Linked DNA regions of Saccharomyces cerevisiae S288C. Changing the gene in region 1 together with any one later gene gives a genetic interaction. Each region holds a gene or a part of one and is shown on either strand. Other genes may lie near its edges.

Region 1 (4,703 bases):
AATGTTAGGCAGTGCACCTGCCAAGGGACCAACCCGTGCTTTAGGAGAGTTATCGCTGAAGCACGTTTACGAAATAGCCAAGATAAAAAAGAGTGATGAAAGGCATAGTTTATTGGAGATGGAAGGTATTGTTAAATCAATAGTTGGCGTTGCAAAAAGTATGGGTATTAAGGTTGTACCTTGATCTGTAAGTAGTGAAAAGACAAAAAAGTACCGTCAATTTCGAGAAATTTTCAACAGACCTTCCTTCTTCTTTCTACTGATCTATTCTGTAAATATGTATATAAGTTTTAAATTCTCTTTCTCCCGTTATGTTAGCAAAGCTCGGTAGTACTGAAGCTATTCTGAGTAAACGCTTCTCCAACTCTGTATACTGAGAGTTGTTTTATAAGTCAATAAAGACCGGATATTTATATGTATATATTGATTTGGTATAATAAAAATGAAATGCTAATAAAAATGCCTATGAAAAGAGGAAAATCCAGGAATATCGAGTTTTTTCATTTGGTGAACTTCCTTTTTTTATTTTTTTTCCATTTTTTTCTGTTATTTTTCTTGCTATTAATCTTCAATGGGCGGTTATTTGGTTCGTTAACAGCCTGTTCCTGTTTGGATTTAGAGGTAACATTACCAGTGGCCATGGCAGATTTCGCCAATGGCAATGGAACCGATTTTGGAGTTAGCCTCGTGTATAGGAGATAATATGCGTTGGGTTCCTTTAAAACGTCCCTTTCAGATATTATATTAATATACTCGTCGTCGTAAGTGGCCCAGCTACCGTCTGGTTGCTTGCAGTGGGCAATGTAGTGACCTGAAGAAAGGGAGCGGCCCTCATGAACCACCACGCTTAATAGTTGGTATTTGACAGGTAGCTCTTTACTCTCACAATATTCCGTCAAATCTAAAAACATAGGATAAGAAACAGCTTGCTTCATTTTTGATGAGGACGTGCCATTGAATCTGAATTTTTTCAGATGCACAAGTAAAGTTTCAGGAGCCCTTAATATTGAACTATGCTTCACGGCGTTCGTGGTCTTGTGACACTTCTCACAAACGTAACCCTTTTGCTCCTTGTCAACCTTGATTAATTCGGGATTGAAGAAATCTTTAATTGATTTTTCAATAGAAAATCTGCGGTTGGCTGAACTTAAATCACTGGCAGCGGCAAATGGTGAGCCATTGTTTAAATTGACAGATGAAGAGGATGAAAGAGATGGTTTTGTGGCAGCATTGGAGGTAGTGGTAGAAGTGGTGGCTGAAGTGCCGTTAATGCTATCACTCGACAGGTCAGAATTTGGATCAAGTTTTTTCTTCCCTTTCAAGTGCAACGATAAATCGTAAAATGGTTGTTCTGTTTTAGATATACTGCCACAAGATTTGCAAGTAACGATCTGCTTTAAAAGACCACCGAATATGTCATATATTATCGATTCTATAAGTTTATGACCCTTGGGAACAGAATCTTCCTGTAATCTTGACATCAGAGACATGAAGTACTCATGTGAATCTTCCTGCTGCCATTCGCTCATCATACAATTAATGTCATCCAATCTGGAAATCAAATGTTTTGGATTAATGTAGGAAGCTGAAACGTTCTTTCTAGGGTTTTTTGAGACCGGTAACCACATTTTTTTACTTGTTTCAGCTAAAGTATAGGAAACGGAATTTTTTGAGATGGTGCTATCGTATTTCCCCATTAGTATATCAAAAAGATAATGTTGTATCGAAGGAATGTGTAACATAGCCTGTACAGCAGCATTTGTGTAACAAGTAACACCATGATTCAAAAGGCCACGAGGCTTCAAATTGGTGAATTTGTCGCCCCAATTTTTAACAATTCTAGTAGAGTTTAAAGAACCACGATCATTGATATTTTCATTGAATTGGTAAAAGTTTGATAGATTTGATATTGTAACCGGAGGGGTGATTGACCTAGATTTATGTTTCAGCTCTTCTTCCTCTTCTTCCTCCTCCTCTCCCTTTGGATTCCTGTTTCCATTTTCTTTGGTGTTGTTTACTGGTTCGTACCGATTTACTTCCACTGTACTATTTTCCATTAAATCTTGATATAAACTCTTTTTTTCGCCTTCAGAAATTTTGGAGCTGGAATCGTTCTCCTCTTCTTCAGGGAGCTCTTTTTCCATAGCACTAGAATCATAATCCATGTCATCCTCATCCTCGTCGTCTTCTATTTCGTCATCACTGCTAATGCTTGTAGACAGTTCCTTTCTTTTTTCCTTTTCATTCTCATTAGATGAATCATCAATGGTTGCTAATGGAGAACCCAAGTTTTCACCAATGTCTTCACCAATGTCTTCACCGATGTCTTCACCGATGTCTTCACCGATGTCTTCGCCGATGTCTTCACCATCGCCCTTATCTGCGTTGTCGCGTTCCTTCAAACTAGCTTTTCGGGGTTCTACATAGTCTCTTGCCTCATGAAATATTTCACCCTCTTCCTCTTCCTCTTTTCCTACTTTGTCATCTTCCGAAGAAGAGGAAGGAGGCTCCGTAGAAAGCTCCGTAGAAAGCTCCGCTGACTTCTTGGCACCAGTAGCATCTGCAGCATCTTTATCATTTTTAGAAGTATACAACAATAAAGCTTCAGCCATAGATTTAGGAACAGTGTTGGTTTTCTTTCCGTTTGGCCTGTCTATCAAGTTATTTTCTTTTATTTGCTTGGATTCGGCCGTTGCAGCAATAGCTGTGCTATTACTATTGTTATTATGCTGTTTTCCTATCACAATATACGAGCTATTTTCCGGCGCGGCGGAAGTATCATTATTATTCGATTTGTTAGAGATCATTGCAGCATTGAACTGCAGGGGATTTGATAGGATTCTATCTACCAAAGGTTTGATCGATTCTTGAGTGGTCATAGTCTGTGATTGTGATATGACAATAGGACGGATTTACAGATACTATGAGTTGTAGATTCTTTCCGTTAGTTTTTCTATGAAATATTATGTGCAGTACAGAACAAAAGAGGCTTCAGACACTATGCATGCTCCTGTGTGCAGTATATGATGCTTAATAGCTTCTATGAAACAAATAAAGGACAGAAGCGGGGATGGAAGACTCTGTTAATGCTTTACAGGGAAGTTTTTCCCGATGGTGGCACTATATAAAAATAAGAACTTTTTTCTTTTCTTTTGGGGATTTTTTTCGATGCGAAAAAAATTTTTTGACGGCATGAGGCAAGAAGTGAACAAAAGAGGTGGTGTCTGGGGGATGCAATTTAACTTCTTACTTGTGCGCGTTCATCGGAGAAAGCTGGCCGGGTGATACACGAATACGGGTTTGCCGTTTTTAGCCGCCGAACCTGCATAATGAAATTGTGCCCCCATGAGATAGGGCGAACAGTTCGGGATCCCCAGGACAATTCTTCACTACCGTGGCAGGAATAGTAGAATCAAGGTTAGTGCGCCACTCTGACTCTGGCGGGATAGACGTGATTAGTGGGTCTTCAACACTATTGTGTGAGGGAACACCTCCAAATTCCACAAGGTCTCGACCCCAGTTCAATATTGTTCCCTGCGGCGTCCCCATACTTAGTCCGTAAGCCGTATCTATATATGCCTTCAACTTTGCAGAGTTGTGGTGGATCCGAAACGGTAGGCGCAATACGTTAAGCTCGTGCTGCAGGTTTCGCCGATCGTAAATACTAATCGCGTCACTGTTGCGTCTGACAACGTACACGTAACGCCCGTTATCGCTTGTAAGGATTTGTACAATCCCACCTGCAACTGTGCGGGTGTAGTTCAGTCTCTCTAGTCGTTGATGACGGCAGTCTACCTGAAACATTTCATTCGCATAACTGCCACACAATAGAGATCCTCTTGAGAGAGCTTGCCCTCCCATTGGTTGCTCTTCAAAGCAAGATATAATGCTTTGTCTTCCCTTGCTTGCTTTTTTGGTACTCTGGTTCATCCACACGGCATCTCGTCTGCTCTTGTCGTATATCGCCACTTTGTTACGGCATGAGCCAGTGTATACACGAGACTCAACATCGATTTTCACACTGTATACAGTTTCGTATTCTCCATTTATTTTGTTCATCGTGTCATAGCTGAGGATACACTGCCCGTCCATCAAAGAGTATAGTTGTAGAGGGAAGTTTTTTCCTCCAACCACGATTCTGTCACCAGCTAACCTGTCGGAATTCTCGTTATAAAGCGTGTAAAACGGGTCTATTGCACATGAAACAATAGACTGGTTTCTAAAAAACCTTGTAAATGGTAGAAGGAGGTTTCTGTTTAGCTTGTCCGTATTACTTTCCTCCGGCACTAAATATTGTCTGATGCCAAAATCATTATGCACAGAAACAAACGATGTACCATCACATGACCAAAAGATATCTTGACATATTACCTTCTTTTCCATTCTGAAGTCGTCTGTCATATTGATATATGGTGATTCTCCTAGTCGTGGATACTCGTATCCACTTCGATCACTTTGAGTCCTTTTTAACCATTCCTTATCTTCTCTTTTCCATACATTCGCTATCGTGTCAGCCTCGAACACTTCGCCAGTGTCGCAATACGGAATTGCATTCATTCTTTCATCATTTTTTCTATTCAAGGACTCATAATGCCCTTGTACCATCTATGTTTATGGAATATGCGGTCTGTCCACCACCGATTTTTAAGTGCACGCTTTTCTTTTTTTGCTTAATTTTCAGACCGTGATAATACTCTCTTTAA
Region 2 (5,608 bases), on another chromosome or scaffold:
CTTCGCACTTATTCTTCCAATGTTTCAATATAGTCTGTTCATTTTGAAAATTTGGATTGTTCATGGCTATACCCATTTTTTTTATTATTAATAAGCTCTCGCCTAGTAAACCTGAAATAAGAGGTTTGGCCAAAACGTGGTCATCCAAGGTTGATGGATTCTTCTCTTCTAATATTATTAATAATGGATCGAAACATATTTGAGGCAAAGCTAGTTCCCATTCTTTTGCCAAGAAAGCGGAGGGAGAATGATCGTAAAGAGTCACAACGTCCCTAGGAAACAGTTTTTGGAACAATTTCTGAAATGTATTCAAAATAGGAATAATATCACTTGAATAGCTGTTTTCGTGAACGGATGTCGTTTGACCGATCGAAACAGAAAAGGATTTGGCATTTGCAGTCGTGAACTGTTTGTATGAGCCATTGTCCAACCGTCTTATGTCATAATCGGTGAAAATGCTGAAAATATTTGACAGCGAAAGATCAACTGAAGCCTTGATGAATGGCTCCAAATATATAAACCCGCTACTTTCAAATAGTATCTTTGTTGTCTTATTCATCATAGGTTTTATATCTCTCAATACCTGCGGGATTTCTTGCAGTGAAGACGCACTCATTATTATCAAGTCGAATACCAAGCCACCATTTTCATTATTAAGGTCTACTAAATCTAGGAGCGATTGGAAATGGTTTTGAATCTGAAACCGTTCCGTCCCATAAAATAGTGAACTAACCTCGTAGTTGGCATTTTTTGAGTTGTTCACAAGATAAAATTCTATATTTTTGGCATGTTGAAACCTGGATGTGTACAGAATGAGATTTGGGTGATCTCCGCATACCAAAACCCTTAATGCAGATGTCATTATTCAATATACCTATCGCGAGATATGCCGGGAATAAAATGTAGGAAACAAAAAGAAAAATATATGCACAGTAGTTCAAACAGAATAGAAATGACGGAGAGCAAATATTTGGGTAGAATCACAGACTTTAGTGTTGGTTACAAGCTTTTCGAATGGATGTAGTTTGTAATCAAAGGACACTAATAATAGCGAAAAAAAAAAGGGCAAGTATGTTGGCAGTCGCCTCTTTTTCAATTTAGCGGTAAGTTTTTAATGAATGGCCTGGTGATAATAGATATGAACAACTTCGCTATCGTGTATGCCAATATCACTTTTCTTTTCTACTACTTACTCGACTTTACTCTACCTTTTCATGTTTGTAGATTTCTGTTTCATTCTAGTCTCGAGAATGGCCCACAGCACGGCCAACAGGGGGCTGCGACAATTTCGCGTAGAGCCCATTGTGAAAAAAGCCACCCAAGCTATTATTGTACACAGAAGAATATGGAAGCAAATCGCCAGTGCTACGTGAATGGGACAAAAACATGATGCCTTGTTTAGTATTAGCATTTTAGATACGCCTTTTCAACTTCAAATTGTGCTATAGATAGGAAGATCTCTTTATTACGCAATATATGTTGTGTGTATTTAGGATAAGACTATATCGTCCAACCATACACCGCGTTTCATCTTGTCTTTTTTGCAGCTAGTAAGAATTAAGCATCAAGAATTGTTCAGTTTGCGATGAGTAATGAAATATATTTAAAGAGGACTAATGTTGTTAAAGTAAGCAGTGCTTTTTTCACGCAGTGTATTTTTAGAATAAGTGGCCATGGGTTATATTTTGACAGGATATTCTAGCCGTCATGATAAGAGAAAGAAACATGCACTTCCTTTGCATCGGTATGCATCGTCTTCGATAAACTTGCAGCACCATGTGCATCTCTTAGAGACCCGGGTTTCATCCAAGAGGCCAATATCGGAAGATCAAAGGACTATCAGGCTTCCTGCGAAGAAACTTAGGCATCATCAAAAGCTAACTTTGCAAGATTTACCTGTAGAGATTATTCAACATATTTTCGTTTTCACAAAGGGTGAACCGTCGATGGTCACCTTGAACAGGTTCTTCTATAGTTGCTTGAAGCCATCTTTTTCATTATTATCGAAGATCATGTGGGAAAAATATCTTTTCGATCCCCTGGAGTTTGGCGTAAGTAATATAAAAGCTTATTCAAGAAATATTGTGATCCCTACATTATTTGAGCATGAAACTTTTTTTAGACTACTACTAGATCATCATCCTATCCTGTTGAAAAATATTTCTCATTTTCTTCCCAGAAAGCACTATCAAGATATGCAGAATGGCGATTTTGATACATCTAAAGAGCTAGACTTGTGTTCAATGAACACTGAAGATACATCGAAAGAAGACTTCCCTAAAAACTTTTACAACAATATGCATATTTTTTTAACACGTAGGGAATGTGTGAAGTCTCTAGGTAATCATTTTACTTTGAAGAATCCATATGATGTGATATCCCCTTTTATAGAATGGTTTTTTCAAGGTATTGATATGCAAGGAACTGACCTAAGCCCTAAGTTTACCTTTGTTTCTCTATTTGAATCAATAGATTTAATCCTATACGTCTCTGGATCTACAGTGCAAAAACTAGCGTCTATTGAACCCCTTACGACTGTAATATTTTTATTATATTTCACGTATGCTGATTCACTAGGGAGTCTGAACTTTGAGTTTTTTTTGCAGAATAGATCAAGATTACAGCTCATAGAGAAATTTATCCTGAAATATTATTACAATCCATCATTGACAGAAAACGAACTTTTATCTGATAGCACTATATGGGACCTGTTAAGGCGGGTGTCTGATTTAAAACTCATAGATTTGGTCGTTAAATGCGGCGGAAGGCCTCAATACGGGGTTATGTTTGCATAATTAAATTACTTAGTATTAAGATTCTGCCCCTTGCATGCATGCACAATATGTGCTTGCCAATTCATTTATGTACAAAAGATGGTGTTATATAAGGAATATATTTTGTTTTCTTTGATATTTTCCCTTTCTCATATTCTTGCGGTTTTTCTGCTTTCATTACGTCGCTAATTAGTTTGTCAAAAATTATAACACCGTTAGTTTCCAAGCAATAATTATATAAGGTCCCGTTAAAAAATATCGATAATCAAAAGGTTTTCAAGTAGCAAGCAATAAATAGCTTTCCGAAGACTAAACAGGCTTTCATAGTGTCTCAGTAAGCGTATGGATGGACAACGCAGTTGATGACAGAGAAACACAAAACTATGGGGAAATTTAAGGTTATTGTATTGGCAGGTACTGCAGGTACAGGAAAATCAACCATTGCAGGTGAACTAATCCATGAATTTAAAGATATATACCCGGATTTGAAATTCATCGAAGGTGATGATTTACACCCGCCTGCCAACGTAGAAAAGATGACAAGAGGGATTCCATTAAATGACGACGACCGTTGGGACTGGTTGAAAAAAGTTGCCGTAGAATCTACAAAAGCTGCAGCAAGCACTAAGGAGCATTTGTCAATTGTTGCTTGCTCGAGCTTGAAGAAGAAATACAGAGATTTGATTAGGCACACATGCCCTGAATCGGAGTTCCATTTTATCTTTTTGTATGCAAGTAAAATAGAAGTTCTGAAAAGGCTCAAAACAAGGAAGGGTCATTTCATGAAAGCTGATATGATGGAGTCTCAATTCAGGGATCTGGAGTTACCAGACATCAACGACGAAACTGACTGTGACATTGTTCCCTTAGATTTCAAAACGTTTTATCAAATTGAAAAAGATGTTATACAGGTGGTAAAAAGTAAAGTTTTGAATATTGAGTAAATAACGCTTGGATAAAACGAAGTAAATATTAGAAACAGTTATATAGAAATTAAATACGGTGACCTGGAAAATTAACAAAGACAGAACAAATGTGAATGAATAATAATAGCAACTTCCAAAAAAAAAAAAGGGGTTACAGGGATCAACAAAAAAAAGCAAGAAAAAAAATGAATAAAGGGAATACCATAAAAACAAATAACATTAAACGGATGAGGGGGTCATAACGGAAGTGTGAATATAACTACAACTTGCTTTGGCAAGTAATATTTTCGGGAAAACAGATGATCATCAAGAGAAGGTCTATCAATTGTGGGCTTAAAACAGATGTGTAGTACACTTTTGTGCCAAAAAGGAGGGGGTTAGTTAGTTAAAGAAGAGGAACTCATGCGAAGTTCGTTGAATTTTTTTTCGAACAAGGAAAATTTGTTGGAAATCTTAGAACATTCGTTATCGGACTCGCAAGAAGTGCTTGTGAACGAAGAATGCAATCCAGTGTCTGTGTCTAGCGTTCCGAAACTGCCACTGCGACTGCCATTATCATCGTCTATCCCTTCTTTGATTCCATCTTCTTCCTCACTTGAAGATGTATAAGATAAATTCTTGGCAGCTTTACTATCGTGCATGTACACGTAGGATTTTGGAGACAAATTCTCATTCGTGTTATCGACGGGGCTAACGAACTTTTCATAAACAGACTTGGAAAGAGGCGGCACTTTTGATAACGGGCCTTCATTGGTGAAGCTTGTAATAGAACTAACTTCTTTCATCAACTCTTGCAAGCTCATTCTATTCTTCGGATTCACTTGTAAAATCTTAGATAATAATGAGTAAAAGTCATCGGAAAGCGGTAGGATTTGCTTTAGTATATTGGGATCCTTAGTGAAATAATAGTAGGTATTATCCTCGGTTTTGTCAGCCTTCAGCCAGGGATTTCTGATGCATGTCAAATTGATAAGGATGATACCTAATGACCACAAATCGCCATTACATGAGGGACAAACCTTACCCAACTTATGTCCCCCACTTTTAGAGCTGGAAACTCTCCCATCAAATGAGATTCTTTCAGGGGGCATATAATACGAGCTACCAATGCAAACATTTGGCTTTATATATGTGGAAGTAGTGGATAGACCAAAATCGCATAGGAAAACGTTATCTTCTGTATCCAGTAGCAAGTTTTCAGGCTTGATGTCACAGTGGTAGATGCCGTGCTCATGGCAATAATTAAGAGCAGAACAGATCTGTAGAAAAACCTTTTTTACTAGCAGTCCATTAGTGACAAAATGTCTGTTATCTACAATAGACGTGAATAGGTCTGTTGGGTAATAATCCATGACAATGAACGTGCAGACTGCAGATTGTAGCACCTCATGTATGGTGACAATGTTCTTATGATGGTGGACTCTTAGGTGTAGCGAAATCTCTTTATAATGGGGCAGCTTTTTAAAATCTTCTTCTGACATATTCTCAATTGATTCTAGATCTATAGAGGGCACCCTGACAACGTTTTTCGATTCCTTGAACAGTTTAGCGAGCTTCTTTTGCAATTTCACGCTATTTTTGTGTATTTTATCATTGCCCATATCAGCCTCCTTGCTAACACCGTAACTTTGAACAACCGCTTTGATAGCGTATTGTCTATCGGTACGAATATCTAAGGCACGGTAAACCAGACCGTACGCGCCTTCGCCAATTTGAGAAGTTATTAAGTAGTTATTAATTCTGCAATTATGGAACATCATCATTACTTTTTTCTTTTTTTTTTTTTTTTCTTTCTCTTATTTTATTTTACTTTAGTATTTCACCTTAGTATATTATCGTACAGTAAATGTTAAGAACTTTTGTAAACGTAACTCATAAAACAAAAAAACAATGGTAGCGCCAACACCA

The links. Genes that interact genetically often act in the same process or in processes that back each other up.
Region 2: of UBP10 (region 1) and YDR249C, a mutation in one rescues a mutant of the other (synthetic rescue), as found in Saccharomyces cerevisiae (2 studies listed by BioGRID, with this or other methods).

Annotation. Positions count from the first base shown.
Region 1 is NC_001146.8:287,674-292,376, reverse strand, and holds UBP10 (ubiquitin-specific protease UBP10), read right to left. Parts: upstream 2,880-4,703; coding exon 501-2,879; downstream 1-500. Other genes in the region: mitochondrial 54S ribosomal protein uL11m MRPL19, read left to right, coding at 1-184; SWT21 (Swt21p), read right to left, coding at 3,310-4,383. UniProt on the Saccharomyces cerevisiae protein: Deubiquitinating enzyme involved in telomere and HM loci silencing, which is the repression of chromatin structure which leads to a stop in the transcription of nearby genes.
Region 2 is NC_001136.10:955,868-961,475, reverse strand, and holds YDR249C (uncharacterized protein), read left to right. Parts: upstream 1-1,673; coding exon 1,674-2,795; downstream 2,796-5,608. Other genes in the region: PAM1 (Pam1p), read right to left, coding at 1-862; YDR248C (gluconokinase), read left to right, coding at 3,137-3,718; putative serine/threonine protein kinase VHS1, read right to left, coding at 4,078-5,463.